Linked DNA regions of Caenorhabditis elegans. The protein of the gene in region 1 purifies or fractionates together with the protein of each later gene. This does not show direct contact. Each region holds a gene or a part of one and is shown in the gene's direction. Other genes may lie near its edges.

Region 1 (6,276 bases):
TAGATTTATTGTGGGACAATGTTTGCAAAGTTGAAATTTTTCTTGTCTAAAATCTTGTAAAAATTTGAAATTTCCAAATATTTCAGATTAATTTGAATTTCTCTAAAACATCAACCCCATTAAAATGATACTTAAGGCTCAGTAACTGAAAGTTGGCAATTTCTTGACATTTTCAATTTTTGTCTCGCACCTCTGATATACATTGGTGATCATAAAAGTTCAGACTTTTCATAAACCTTGGGAATTTTGACATTGTGTTAGTGTAAACTCAAGCTGCGGTGTTCAAAATTTTCCAGTTTACCAATTCTGAGAAAGTCTGAAACGAGCACACACACACACACACACACAATGTGCTCTTAAGAATGAAGAGTAGACAGCAAGTGTGTATAAACATGCCATAGTGTATTGAAAGAACCTATAGTGCATTTGTGCTTTATGGTGGGCATGAAGTGATGTCATCTGATCCCTTGTTGGGTCAATCGTTCTCACAAAAAAAAGCTGTGGAACACATTCGTAAACAGAACGTCGATGCCCCCCGTTTCTGAATCATCAGTGACATTTTACTTCATTTCTAAACATAACATTTCCTTTTTTTTGCCTTCCGTCATTGTTTCTCATATTTTTCTATACGACGATTACTCATCAAAAGAGGACACGCTTCATGTTTTGTAACGAAATGGAAAACTATTTTTTTGTTCTTATTCGGGAAAAGTTGGATGTGAAACATTGGGAGAACACCGCGCACGGTTGAGGGGGGGGGGGGGGGGGGAAGAGGAAACCAATTTGACCACTATGTTTTGAAAAAAAAAGAATCTCAATGAGTTTTCTGGGTGATACTAATTAAATTGCGAACCCATTTAATCAGGTCCCTCTTTCTCGGCACTTTGTTCGTTTTCTTCGCAACCAATAAAACTGGACCCCGAGAGGTAACATGTTGTTGATGGTTCCTGATGATGCTCCGCTCTTCCCGCTTCTCATCTCCCCCGCATTGTGCAGTTGAAAGCAAAACTTGCAGTGTAACACCGAGAAAGCAGGGCAGCTAATTCAATGGAAACAATTCAAACTTTTTGGAGAAAAAAAATCTAAACCCTCTCGCTCAAAGATTATATTCCGGCGGAATACAGAAAAAAAAAACAAATTGTTGAATCATATAAATTCAAAAATCGAACATGTGACAATATCCAAGAATAGAAATTGATGACTAATACAATTTTCAGAAATTTTGCTTTGTTGTGATTTGAAACAAAATCATTTTCAGATATACTTTGAAGTACAAAAAGTGTTGAAAACATGAGGAATTTTCCTTTAACACTGGCACGTCATGCTCCACTTTGACAAAATACGTGTCAAATTTTTTTCTACATTTGAACATTGAATCATTTCTTAATAAAACTAGAGACCATCGATATATTGGAAAATACGGTTCCTTCATTACCAACTTACAGTTAAAAAACCTCGCTTTTCCTGATATTGATGACAAAAAGATTAATTCTAGATTCGAATATATCACTAAGTATGGCAAGAAAAGAGTTCTGAGAACATCTTTAGTCTGCAGTGCCACGACGTCTGCAATTGTTTTGCAACATTAAAATCTTACGGTTCCTTATCAAATTATCCCTTAAAAACCGAACGGCCGTTCGCTTTTCACTGACCAATTTCATAATTACAAAACATTTTTAGGCGTTTTTCTCACGTTGCGCTCTGCCGAACGCCTCATCTTCGAGGCGGGAAGGCGCGACGCGGTCCCCCAATTCAAATTTTCCAGGACACCACCACCACACTGTTTTTCCCTCCGTGTCCCGCCCTTCCGAGGACCGTCTGTCGGATGGCCGCTCTCCAGTATTCCCTCAATCCCTCATTCGGTTGGGCGGGGCCAGCCGACCAATGGCAAAGAGCGGCGCGGACGCGTCGCGTGCAGCAGTATAAATAGGCCACGAGAGGCAGAGTTGTGCACTGGTTTTTCACTAGGCACCCGCTTTCAGTTCCCAAAAAAATGTGTGACGACGAGGTTGCCGCTCTTGTGGTGGACAATGGATCCGGAATGTGCAAGGTGAGTTGATAACATTTGAATAATTCTAATTAGGGACAAAGGTTTAAAACAATATTATGCAATCTTAACTGCTCTAGAAACATTTGAATATAAGATTTAGAAATTTTGGAAAATTTTATTTTGTTAGTTTTAACTGCGCTTATTCCAACTCCATGTCTCAAATTTACTTTTCATTTGGGTTTAAAATTTCCAACAACCTAGGAATAATTCCATTGCATTGTATAAAAAGTTGTTTCCCTGCCGCATAAGGATTTTGAATTTCTATTCCTTCTCAACGTTTCGATTTGCATTGTTTCGCAAATAATTATGGCAACAGTTGTAGTAGTAGTGGGTGGTGATTCATATCGTCCGTCAACACCTGCGCGCGGTCACTCGCTCCCTCCCATTTTCAAATCTGGCGCCACGCGCCCCTTTTTCATCCCACTGGGAGAATATGTAAGGGGGGGGAAGAAAAAAGGAATCGTCGCAAGGATATGTTTTTAGTGTATGTAGAGTATTGTTGGAGAGGGGCCAACCCGACCCCGACCCGATGCGCATTTGCAATGGTGTGTGAGGAGAGGCCGTCCGTTGAGGGAACGTCCGCGACGTTTCCTTCGTACAATGGGATATATCACGACCAGCCAACAGTAGTGTAATGCACATTCCGAGAGGGCAGTGGCAATAGTTGAATAGAGATTTCGCCAGTAGATTAGCAACCCCATAAGATAGAAAGAGAGGCAAACCATTCAACAAGAACAGCGATTTTTTTCGTCGTCAAAAGCCAGTAGTTTTTTGTCTATCCACGACGGGTATCTTTATTTGCAACCACCTCACTTTGCAATCCTCATTAAGTATAATTTGGGAACGAAGAAGCGCAACGCGAACATCAATTATCCGCACCACCCTCAATAGTGCTACTTGGCTAATTTGTGGCCCTAGGAAACAAGATGTGTGTGAGTGTCTGAGAGTGTGAGATTCCGATGGTATTGGCGAACCCTTCCCGGATTTATTTATATATATGTGTCAGAAAAGAGGCTGCCGCTAATCGCTAATCTTGACAGTGTGTTGGTCAAGTGTGCCCTTGTATCCTCCTCGCATCACTGTATGCAGGGCGGCGGTTTCCCTCCATTCGGCCTCTCTTGTTGAATGACTACCACCACGCCAACAGCCGAACGGATGGGAGACGGATAGGACACAAGAAGGGACGGACGGACTGTCAAGGCCAAGAAATGCCACCTTTTGTCAATCCTCACTATATTGATTGATAGAAATGAATATGCGCAATCTAGACATGAGAGTCCGATTGAGGCCAAGTAGTAGGAGGCGAAAAGTGCGATTAGGATGAACGGGGAGAGAGTAAGTGACCGGGATAGGATTGTACAAATGCAATGGTCATCAGGGACTTTCATCATCAAAATGTCCCCCTTCCCATTCTAATTCAATTTTCCACAATTTCCATTTGAAATCAAAAAACTGACACGCTCACATCTGGTGCTCTTGGTGTGTAGACGATGACTCAATGCATTTCGAAATCTGTCTTAGTGCCCGAATGCCCCGCTTCTCAGTGCTGCTGATGGCCTCCCATTCGCCCCGTTTCCTATCTCATTATTCAACAGCGCAATTGGATTGCGAAATGGATCTGAGTGGGTAAAAAAAAACGGGGCCAGTGGCAGCAGCAGGCCCCTGCGACCAACACGGGGGTAAGCGAGCGCTGGGCACACTCTCTCACACACACACACACACACACACACACACACACACAAACACAGAGAGACATACACACATCTGTTGAGCGTTGTCGCCGCTCACCACACACCAAAGCGTTCTCGGAAAAAGTACTTCATTCGATATCAACCGTGAACTAGAGGAGTAGAGCGAGAGAGGGCATTTTGAGAATAGGGGAATGGGCCTTTTGTGTTTGCACTGCTCTCGCTCGTGCGCGGACTCACTGCGCTCTGCCAAATCTCGACCGAATTCTCGCCGCAACCTTCTCTCTTTGCAATGTAAATATAATGGACATTCTTGAAAGACCTAACGAGAGTATTCATTTCTTATCTAGGGGTCATCATGGGATATATTGAAACAAAAATTGATAATTTCAGGCCGGATTCGCCGGAGACGATGCTCCACGCGCTGTCTTCCCATCCATCGTTGGACGCCCAAGACATCAAGGTGTGATGGTCGGTATGGGACAGAAGGACTCCTACGTCGGAGACGAAGCCCAGTCCAAGAGAGGTATCCTTACCCTCAAGTACCCAATTGAGCACGGAATCGTCACCAACTGGGACGATATGGAGAAGATCTGGCATCACACCTTCTACAACGAGCTCCGTGTTGCCCCAGAAGAGCATCCAGTCCTCCTCACTGAGGCTCCACTCAATCCAAAGGCCAACAGAGAAAAGATGACCCAAATCATGTTCGAGACCTTCAACACCCCAGCCATGTACGTCGCCATCCAGGCCGTGCTCTCCCTCTACGCTTCCGGACGTACCACCGGAGTCGTCCTCGACTCTGGAGATGGTGTCACCCACACCGTCCCAATCTACGAAGGATATGCCCTCCCACACGCCATCCTCCGTCTCGATCTTGCCGGACGTGATCTTACTGACTACCTCATGAAGATCCTCACTGAGCGCGGTTACTCCTTCACCACCACCGCTGAACGCGAGATTGTCCGTGACATCAAGGAGAAGCTCTGCTATGTCGCCCTCGACTTCGAGCAAGAAATGGCCACCGCTGCCTCCTCATCTTCCCTCGAGAAGTCCTACGAACTTCCTGACGGACAGGTCATCACCGTTGGAAACGAGCGTTTCCGTTGCCCAGAGGCTCTCTTCCAGGTAAGAAAATATTTGCACCTCTAGCTAAACATAAAATTAATTCCTATTCATTTCAGCCATCCTTCTTGGGTATGGAGTCTGCCGGAATCCACGAGACTTCTTACAACTCCATCATGAAGTGCGACATTGATATCCGTAAGGACTTGTACGCCAACACCGTCCTTTCCGGAGGAACCACCATGTACCCAGGAATCGCCGATCGTATGCAGAAGGAAATCACCGCTCTTGCCCCATCGTAAGTTTAACTTAAATGGATTTCAAGAACTAATATTTACTTTCTATTTTTTCAGCACCATGAAGATCAAGATCATCGCCCCACCAGAGCGCAAGTACTCCGTCTGGATCGGAGGATCCATCCTCGCCTCCCTCTCCACCTTCCAACAGATGTGGATCTCCAAGCAAGAGTACGACGAGTCCGGCCCATCGATTGTCCACCGCAAGTGCTTCTAAATTTTTTGCCCCTTCCACCCACAACGCTCAAAAGAAGTTCGTATTATCCCGCAACCCATCCAGACCATCCTTTTACATTTTTTTTATTTTCTCTTTTTTTTTTCTTCACCCTCTCCGTGTACATTGCTAGTAATAGTTCCAACTTCTCTAGCCGACTGCATTATGCTTCCCATTCTCACCCAAATCTTCATTGGTAACTTCTCTTGTATTTGTTCAATACTATTCCGGTAGTAATCTAGGCATGTATAACTAGGTTCTCTGTGTATCTTTGGTTTGAAGTTGAGGTTTAATGCAATCACTTTTGTTGTTGTACCCTATTACTGCCGATGACCCCCATTTTCTCATTACAAAATTGACATTTTAAACCATTTTTTCTCTGAATCATGCTCATTATTTGAGCCACATTCATAATAAAGCTTTTAATAAGACAAATTGATCAAGTTTATCTAATGTAAAAAATACAAATAAAGAAAATTCAACCCGGAGGAGAGATGAAGTGAGTAGCTGTTACGGAACACAGATTATTTGCCTTGTTTGTTTCCGAAGATGTCTCCGACGCGGTCCAAAATTGAGCCAATACTGAGCGGATCATCTGGATTTGTGCAACGGACTCCTAGTAGTTGATCCTGTAATTTAGAAGGTGAGTTTTTTTAAACTAAAACAACAAATCTTAGAAAAATATGTTGTTTTTTGAGTTTAAAATAAGAATTGAACACAAAATGTACAACAAAAATTAAAAAAATTCATGGAATTCTTGATCCGCTTTTATGATTAGTGTCTCATTTTGTTTTACTCAAGTATGTTATTAAAAATATATCATACAATGTTTGAAAAAATATTTTTAACGGAAAAAAACAGGATATGGACGCAGCCTATTATTCATTTTCTACAAGTCGAAACATTGCCACATGAATATAGCATTTTTATAAAATAAATAAGGTATCTAATTAAAGTGAATCA
Region 2 (4,676 bases), on another chromosome or scaffold:
CCTCCAGAGAGTTCGTGCATACAAAATGATACATCAAACATTTGAAGGGCACCGCAACACAATGCGCAAATCCTCACACACATACGCCAACACTTTCTTCAGGTGTGATAAATGAAAAGAGTGCGAGAGCTTGTGTGACATGTCAATCGGTGTGTGGATAAATTACCCCAAACACACACTTCCGATAGTGACAGCCGTGGTGTTCGTCACTCCACACGAGGATAACCGAACGCGGGTGCTCACCGAGATTCACACCATCTTAATTGGTCTGTCTGTGATGAGCGGGCTTGGAAGAGCGAAAGACAACGAATGCGGTGGAATTGGGTTAAAGTTTGCCGACAACCCGGAAAAGATTCAATCTCAAACGGAAATTGAACATTTTGATTAATGAGTTTATAAGCGAAAATGTGTTGGAAGGAGCAATTTGACACTTTCTTTGGGTTTTGGATGCTGACGGGAATATCTTGCAATGAGATTGATTGGGTGTTGACATACAGTTTGAGAGGTCTCTTGCATTAGTCATTGGTCTTTATGATTTACCGAATCGTCGGATAAGAATCAGTATGCGAAATTAAGCATAATTTTATAAGAACGTTTTTCATGAAAATACTTCGTAAAGCTTTTATGACACGGTATGGATATTTACTGTAAAGTACCGTATTCCTCTAATTGAATTTACAGTATTCCCCTCGGTTGACCGGATAAAAAACAGCTCATTATTTGTCCACAGGATCCTTTATTCGATGCCAAGTGTATTCTGTGGTACTCGATATGACGGATGAATTACCACCAAATTTGAACCATATGTCGTCGACAATTCCGATGCTTGTCTTCTCCCACCACTTGTCGTCGTCATCTTCTGCTCAATTATCTTCGCACCATAGTCAATATGAACACTATCCAGAGAAAAGAGTCACCATCACCTTTTATTACCACACACACACACACGGGTACACCAATAAAAGGGCAAGTCGTAAACGAAAAGCGCCTGCCTGCTGACATTTGGTGATGCCCACCCTTTCACATCTGGCATCCTTGACCACTATTACAGGAAGACGTTTGTTTTTTTTCAATGCCCGTTTGAATCACTTTAGAGCATTCTCTATAATTTGGAGCTTTCGTAAAATCACTTTGAAGGGAAAATTGAAGAAATCTAGGGAACAGCCGGGTGCAATCGAGAACGGGGGCGAGTGGAGCTGCACAATTTAACAGAACCTCATGAATATATGATAAGTTCGTGAATGCAATCTCCATCAGAAACCTTAGCATGACGTTGAGATTTTAGGAGCAAAGTTTTGCTTGAGCTCAGATGATAATGATATTACATAGATCTTCACATAGATAAGCTCAACTTCGTCCTTGGAGATGGTTCTGAAATTTTTTAGAACTATTATATTCAGTCAAACACCCTCTTGCTTCCAAGAAAACTCAAGCATCCACCACCCGACGCCAAAAACGCCTGAAGCGGGAATAGATTTTCTTTTAGTGGTGTGATAATTGCCACCCTCTGGTACATGAAAACAACATTAGGTGGTGCTGTCAGGCACACATTGCTTCTTCCTCTTCTATCCGGTCATCCTTCTTCTTCTTCTTCCCATGGGTGGTGTCTCTGTTGACCCTCCTTCGCCTTAAGCCCCGCCCCTTTATCCGCCCGTCCCCTTCGCCTTCTCATGGTGTTTTGCCTCACGTTTGCTGCTTCTAGCTGCTGTGTTGTTTGTCTTCTGGAGAAGTCAAGGATTCTTTGTTCCGAATTGGAACAATGATTTCATACATTTTGCTTTTATTTTTAAGTTTTTTGGTATTATGCTCTATTGCACTACCATCATCATGTCCGAATCTTTGTGAATGCGATCAAAATGACTCGTCTTGGAGTGTTTATTGTCGAAAGGCAATCATAAACGATACGATTTACGCGGAAATTCTAAACCAACTTCCGTTGACTCTTCGATCACTTCATATTCAGGTTAGTAAACGATAAGATCTAAAACCACAACGTCCGTCCGTCAATCTAATCCCTTCATTTACATAAATTGTTTTAGCCGCCCTCAAATCGCATTGGTTCTAACAAACTTCGATGGAATGACAACATAAACCGTTTTGCACAGCTTCGAGTTCTTCGTCTCATCAATTGTCAGATTCCAGCAATGTCCCGATCCATTCGACTGCCATCTTTGGAAGTATTAGATCTACACTCAAACAATATTGAGCATGCGACAATGAGCAACTTTGGTGGTATGCCAAAACTTCGAGTATTGGATTTATCATCGAATCATTTGAATATTCTTCCAACTGGAGTATTCACATATCTTAGAGCCCTGCGATCATTGTCTCTATCCAATAATACTATCAGTGATCTTTCTACAAATTTACTTCGAGGTCTCAATTCTCTTCGAGTTCTACGACTAGACCGGAATCCTATTCCAATTGAACACATCAATGAGTTATTCACAGATGTTTCCCAATTGGATGAATTATATTTGAATCATTGCAATCTTTCATCAATTTATTCTCTGGCTCTTGATCGTATTCCTCAACTCCGTCAACTTGGAATCGGAGGAAATAATCTCAAAATGGTTCCAACTAAAGAACTGAGATCTCTTCCTCAACTTTCTGTTCTCGACTTGTCTCACAATTCCATTCAAGAAATCACAGCCTGTGCATTTTGCAATACGAATATCTCAAAATTGGATCTTTCCCACAATTTGCTCGGAATTTCGAAAGACTCTCCGTTTAACGAGGATGCGTTCCGAACGATGCCATTACGTCATCTGGATTTGTCATTCAATCATATGAATGATTTTGACTCAAAATGGTTGGGATGGGCACAAGAAGAGCTGACTTCGATTGCATTGTCAGGAAATTTCTTGAAAAGTGAGTTTTTGTAGCAAAAGTTAAAATAACCCCAAAACTAGATTTTTAAAACTTTTTAGATTGTTTTTAATTTAAAAGTTTTTCCGATTTTTAAATTTGAAGAACGGTTTTTCAAAGTTACTAGAGATGGCATAATTAATTTGTAATTTTAGATTTCGAGGAGTCATGGACCTATACATTGAAGTCGTTGATTCATCTCGAACTGGCCTACAACCACATCAAATTCATCCCGGTACAGCTGCCGTCTCGCTATTACCACCTGATTTCATTGAACATTTCCGGAAATGAATTGACTTATTTGCCTGACAATATCAACACTTTGCTTCCAAATGTGAAAGTATGTCCATTTTCTATACGAAATTCGAAGCGTTTGTGGACCCCCTTATATGGGGACACGCATGTCATTTGAAACCTGCTCACTGAGATTTCTTTAGACTTTCGACATCACAGCCAACCGATTCCACACCTTCTCGCATACAGATTTGGCATTCCTAAATAATGTTGAACAAGTGTACGTAGATGGAAATCCTTGGGATTGTTCATGTGCTATTCAAGGACTTCAAGTGAGTCTTTTCCTCTCTTATTTCTGAATTAATTCGAACATCTTTTCAGGTTCATATGCGAGATCGTTATGCGATGAGACACATTCTCAACTACGATAATGTCCGATGCGCGACACCATCGCTTGTGGAAGGTCATTCAGTTCTGGCAATTACCGACGTAAGATTCACATTCACGTTATTAATTTCACTATTTAAAAACTTCAGGTAAACGACTGTGCCGTTTTGTTTGGTGCACGGTATGGATTAACGCAAACAAGTGAAATGCTCATACTTCTCGCAGGAGTTCTCCTTTTTGCCGCACTACTTCTTATGATTCTTGGATGCATCTATTTCCTTCGTGAGCGACAGTACAAAGGATCATATGTGACACGAGAACACTCTCGAACTCCACTCACGATGGCAAACACACATAGTTGCTCTTCGAGTACAAATGATACACATGGTCCATTATCACCACCATTTGATCCATTCTTGGTTAGTACTGAAACATTTAAAGCCACTCCTCCATTGATTCCACCAGCACCTCCAAAACCTGGATCATCCTATTTTGGCATTTAAATATCCTTTTGAGAGTTTCAAATGTTTCAAAAATCTAAATCCGTGTGATTATTTGCATCCATCTAGTCGTTCGATCTCCCAGCCCCATTTTCATGTATTTTTGCCCCCTTTTTCGATACGGTGTTCAATTGTTTAACCCTTTGTCTGTAAATAAAATAAACTGCTCGTAGATATACCAAGTTCAATGAAATAGACAGGAGCCTTAATCAGCAGCATAATAGTAGTTTTCAAGAGGTAAGACACCTCTTCTCGGCCGTAAATCCGTCGGCAAAGAAGTAATAAATCGGCGAGGCTGTTGTCTTTACGCCCTGGTTCTCTGTGGGGGTCAACTCATTTGTCAAATGCACACCAAGACAAATGCATAATTGAGAAGGTTTCGAGAAGGAGAGTTGACTTTTTCGTTTAAAAAAACTCCGCGGGAAAATCTCCGTAGCCACAAAATTTTGACGTTTATGAATTGAAAATTGGTTGTTCGACAGGGACTCGTTAATTTATGAGTTTATGAGCCATTCGAATAATAAATTGATGTGCGTATGTATGTGCACACGCGCGCGAATTCGTGGATGTAGATTGCACAATCTGTTATGACACGTCGTCTCATCCGTTAGATTCCCAAGTGACACCCAAAACAATTGGAGTAAGCCAATGCCAATTAAGTTGGATAGATGACCACGAAGAACAAGA
Region 3 (5,021 bases), on another chromosome or scaffold:
ACTTTTTCTGGTTAAAAGTGATTCGCTGAATTTTTTAAAGGAACATATGTTATAGGCCCTCTTTCTGAAAATACGATTTTCATTTAGAAATCTAGATGAGGCTGCAATCCTTTATTGAGAGTTTGACAATTTCTGCCTTCAGTTTCAGAGTTAGCTTTGAAAACTTTTGACCTACCTGTCTTCCTATATATCTCCAGGAATGTTATATTCTACAAGTTCGCAGTCAGTCAAATCCAAAATTCTTGTGTTCCATATCTCACCAAAAGAATCTTTGCATCCCGAAAACTTTTTGCCCCTTCCCGCGCCGCGCTCTTTTCTTTTTTTTTTCATCGTCGTTTTCTGCATCATTGCTAATAATCTCGCTGGATATTCGTTTCTACGTTTTTCTCCCCATTATCATGTCAATTACACAACCGCCAATCCAAATGGCATTTGACCACCTCCCGGGGCGGTGTCGGCGTAATTTTGTCCTCAATGAGTGGTCTCGAGAATTGTATTTAGGATTTATAAATCTTCATGTTTTTTGGTTCGGCATGTTTCCTGATTTTTATGAAGATTTGAAGAGACATGGCGGGCCATTTTTACATGCTCAGATGGCCGAGTTTTCTCTAGCTTAAAAAGTTCACAAAATCATGGACCACCTAGAAGAGCATATCTTTGCACAAAACGTGGTTGCCTAAAAATTTTTCATACCCGAATTTTGCTATTGTCAAGTTTTTACTATATGTTTATTACTTTTTAACCTAAAAATCTGCAGATTCGTATTCCAAGGAGTTTCAACAATTTTTGAGCGAGTTTAAAATTTAATTTCTTTAGCGATGTTAGCATTTTGTAATGCCAATTCTCAAAATCCCGGACAAAAACCTTGTAAACTAACTGTACAACAGGGGTGTGCGGCAAATTTGCCAAATTTGCAGTTTGCCGAGCTCGGCGAATTTCAAAAATGTGGACTTGTCGAATTCGCCGCACACATTACAATTTTTTAATAAAATATATTTTTTCATTATTTTTGGCTTTTCTGCTGTACAGTTGTTTTCGTCTCAAAACCAAAAATTTTCTATTTTTCCAAATGGAACTTTTCCTAAAAGTTTTCCAATGGCCTAGATTTCTCTGAAGCAAAAATCGATTGATTTTTTACAACCTCCTACATTGAACACATCTTGCAGAACAGGTATATAAAAGAGACTAACATGTTTTTGTTCACAGCTCAACGAGCTCGTAAACGCGTTAGTATGTGGCTCTCTGGCTCAACAGAAATTGAACCCATTCGATTTGCAATTTAACTTTTTTCGCCTTCTTCACTTTAAAATTCTTCAACTGAAAATTCAGTTTTGCTCTTTCCAATTCCCATCGGGGGACAAATGTTCTCTTTTTTTTGCATTTTTGTTCCACCCCCTACTTCTCGTTTACTTTTTTCTTCTTACACCCCTAATTCCATTTCTCTCTCTGTTTTTTTGTTTTCTACTCATTTGCAGCACTAGTTTTTTTGGTTCGAGCTGAAGCTGATTGAAAGACAAGTGTATGTGCCAATGAGAGCTCGAAAATGAGCAAAATTCTTGGAAAATTTTGGAATTCAATTTATTTTTCGAGTTTTGTTTGCTTATTTACACATCTTTCCCCACGGGCATTTTGAGTGCTTTTATTCGAGAATTTTTCTTCAAATTTGGAGTTCTTCATATACTTTTTTAAAAACTTAAATTCAATAAATTTAGTCATCAAAATTTTTTTTTGAATTCATCGAAATTTTATTTTAAAAAAGCAGTTTGCACTAACCTGTAGGAAACTTGAAAGATTTTTAAAAGATTTGAAAACGGTACATGATTGAAAAAAAATATTTTTTGAACAAATTCACTGAAGTTTACATTTATCTCATTTAATCCCTAATTCTTTTTTTAATCTAAAATAGTAATTATTCTTCCAATAAAATTTCTCTCACTCTTCTGCTCGCATTTTCCGCGTCATTTTCCTTTCTGTATGTAGTAATAATAAAAACAACTAAAAATTTATATTTTTTACAGAGAAAAACAAGAAACAATCAGAGAAAAGCAAAATAAAAAGAAGACGCTGATGATTCAGTTTCAGTTTGTCAGGAATCGAAAATACGGTGAGAAATTGGAAGCGTAGAATTGTACTAATAAATTATTGAAACTTTATTCACCACTTTGTATCTACATGACCATTAAAAAAATATTTCTAGCATAGAAAACATAAGTTCTCACAGTTTGGTGTGCCAAGGTTTTGAGCTTCTACGTAGCCAAAATAGAGAAAACTAGACCACGTGCAGTTTTTCGAAAGTCGGTTTCATATAATTGTTGCAGTCATTTTTGAAAGCTAATTTCAGAACAGTTCGTGGTAGAAAATCAAACAAAAAAGCCTCGACCATGTAGTGAAACTTTCCTTAAAAAAATTGTTGAAATAGCAGCCAAATAATGGCAATTTCTGATTCCTAGGAACTTTTATTAAAAATTTCTATGAGATTTGTATTTTAAATACGTTTTTAATTACGTTTTTAAATAATTTATTTTTGAAAATTTCAAAAGCTCAAACCTGCAGCAATGTTCTAATTTTTTTAAATTTCAAACTGTTCTATTAGTTGGCAATTTACCAAAACTTGGCAAAATTTTTTGAAGTATTTATTTATGAAATTTGGTCATGTTGAGTGTATTTATACAAAGTCCTCATTTTAAATTGAAGTCAACTATAATTGTGCCAGCGGTCATTCGGAACTGTATACAATGATCACCTAAGAATCTATGTTTTTAAATTTTGAATGAGAAATGTGTCTACATAAAACCAAATTTTTCGGAGGCGAAACCTTACTGGTCGATTCTCCTTTTTTCAAGCCACCTTGCGAAATCTGCTGTTCAAATTAATTTAACTGGTATAAGAATTTTTGAGATTTTGACATTTCTATTATATTTCAAAATTTGAAAAAAAGTGTATAGTTCCTGGAAGCTATAAATCTTAATTTCATAATCCAAGTGGATTAGAACGCCTATTGATAATTCAAGGTGTGTTCTTATATCATCTGAAAATAGTTAAATTCAAAAGATGACACGTTTTTACATAATTTGCATACAGATGACTTCTTCTCTTCCTTCTTCTGTCTGCCACACCCCATCCAAATCATAATAGTTATGTCAAAGCCCCTCTCCTCCTTCAATTCTTTTCATTGTATTTAACCATTGTTTTCATTCAACACCACTTCTCCCTTTCCCCCGTAAAAATCCTATTTTCAGATGTGCTATTCAGGGTTTCCTTTTAGTCACAAATTAAGTGTCATCTTTTAAGAAGAGGGGGCTCCTTCTTAGTAAAAGAGCACCAAGAGTCCGCTCGGCACTCATTTTTCATTTTTGGTGTGAAGAAGAGAAGGGGGATGTGGGGAAGAAGCCTATCCGCAAAATTTTTGGTGTGAAGCATAATTTAGTGTTTGTTGTTTTTCGAGCCATTTCGTGTGGTCAAAATGAGTTTTGAATTTTAAATTTTTTCTTCATTCATCTTCTTATGATGATTGTTAGTTTTTAAAATTATAATCAAGAAATTTATTTTTTCATTTTGTTAAAAGTGTACCAATGTAGGAATAGCTAAAAACCATAGTGCTTTTAATTTTTCTGTTATGTTTTAATTTTTTAAAATTTTGGGCGTTCAAACATGCGGTAAAAAACCAAATTTTCAGTAACTTTGGCAATTTACCAAAAGATTATCAGAAACTTTTCAAAAGCTTACAAATTTGTATTTATGAAAAAGTTTCCACTGGCTCAAAGATTTTCTCCAGGCGCATTTTAGGATCCCCGAAAATCTGCTGTTTTTTCTAGAACATTTTTGAAATTTTTAAACAAAAAAAAATGATTTAAGCTTTTAGAATTAATTAGAACAATAAAAAATATATTACAATTTTCGTTATGGAAAAATTGAAATTCCTGATCCACATTTTTGTAGATATACCTGTTCTCGCCTATTTTCAAAATTTTTTGAATATTTTCTGTTCTCTCTGCAACATATAAAACTTTTTCCAACTTCGCTGTTAACAGAATAACATAGTTTTTTTGCCAGAATTATTCAATCCTAATTTTTTTTTTCCAGGAATTCCATTCTGTTGTCAGTGAGAGAGAACCGCGTTCAAATCAGAATGGGCTCACGCCTCTCATGTTCTTGCTCACAAGCCGAATGCTGGACGAATGATGAATCTACATTGAGGTTTGTTTTTTCTTTGAGAAATATCTATCACTACTTGTCATTCACACAGTTGGTTCGTGTTTATTATTCTAACACTCTGAAAAAAGATAGATATTATAGTTATGGTTAGAATAAACAAAAAGAGTGTGCGAAGGGGAATTGGTATTTGACAAATTGTAGATTGGATGAGGGGGACAAAAAATAGACAAGATTCTGACCGAGATGTCATTAATTTTCGTCAACTAGACACTTTGTTTCGGAAAAAAAGACAGTGGAGAAGAATAAAACCAACTTTTACATTGAAACATTCAAAATTTTAGTTTCTGCTATAAATAATAGAAAAAAGGTTTTTCAGTTAAATTATTCAAATTTAAACTTTATCAACGCAAATCTTTATTACAAAAAACTTAAATAATCTATAAAAACTGAAAAGCGACATTAATTATTCAATAAGAATTTTTATGAGGATTCATTCCATGAACCAAATGATGTACCATTTCTTCTGCATCCATTTCATCTTTAACCGTATTGATTTTCTCGTTTTGCTGATTTCGAATAATAAAATCAGAGGCGTACGCGTCGAAATATGATTTTTGTCGAATAAGTGAAAGAGTTGACTCCATTTTCGAACGATGTCTCACTGATTCGAGAATTCGAATTTTCTCATTGAGCAGCATGATCTTTGTCATTTCTCTGGAAAAATTTTGGAATTGCTGAAAAACTGTAGAAATTCAAATAAAAAACTAACGTGATAAGAGTGTAAACTGAAAATGACCACAATAAAAGGATGAAGCATTTTATATGCATCAGAGCTTCTTCGTCTTCAACTTGTTGCATTTCTTCCA

What was found. Proteins that work in one complex are often made in the same cells at the same time.
Region 2: the proteins of act-4 (region 1) and dma-1 purify together in Caenorhabditis elegans (affinity purification with western blotting, with the first as the bait; one study listed by BioGRID). This does not show direct contact.
Region 3: the proteins of act-4 (region 1) and tiam-1 purify together in Caenorhabditis elegans (affinity purification with western blotting, with the first as the bait; one study listed by BioGRID). This does not show direct contact.

The regions. Positions count from the first base shown.
Region 1 is NC_003284.9:4,958,669-4,964,944, forward strand, and holds act-4 (Actin-4), read left to right. Parts: upstream 1-1,952; 5' UTR 1,953-1,993; coding exon 1,994-2,050; intron 2,051-4,131; coding exon 4,132-4,866; intron 4,867-4,922; coding exon 4,923-5,101; intron 5,102-5,156; coding exon 5,157-5,316; 3' UTR 5,317-5,745; downstream 5,746-6,276. Other genes in the region: M03F4.6 (EB domain-containing protein), read right to left, coding at 5,838-5,942. UniProt on the Caenorhabditis elegans protein: Actins are highly conserved proteins that are involved in various types of cell motility and are ubiquitously expressed in all eukaryotic cells.
Region 2 is NC_003279.8:8,280,307-8,284,982, forward strand, and holds dma-1 (LRRCT domain-containing protein), read left to right. Parts: upstream 1-1,662; 5' UTR 1,663-1,759; coding exon 1,760-1,963; intron 1,964-2,039; coding exon 2,040-2,871; intron 2,872-3,023; coding exon 3,024-3,208; intron 3,209-3,305; coding exon 3,306-3,434; intron 3,435-3,483; coding exon 3,484-3,591; intron 3,592-3,638; coding exon 3,639-3,992; 3' UTR 3,993-4,171; downstream 4,172-4,676.
Region 3 is NC_003279.8:4,407,673-4,412,693, forward strand, and holds the start of tiam-1 (DH domain-containing protein), read left to right. Parts: upstream 1-2,016; 5' UTR 2,017-2,104; intron 2,105-3,198; exon of another isoform or gene 3,199-3,388; intron 3,389-4,083; 5' UTR 4,084-4,129; coding exon 4,130-4,197; intron 4,198-4,343; exon of another isoform or gene 4,344-4,429; intron 4,430-4,552; exon of another isoform or gene 4,553-4,622; coding exon of another isoform or gene 4,623-4,869; intron 4,870-4,924; coding exon of another isoform or gene 4,925-5,021. Other genes in the region: T21E12.5 (Guided entry of tail-anchored proteins factor 1), read right to left, coding at 4,623-4,869, 4,925-5,021.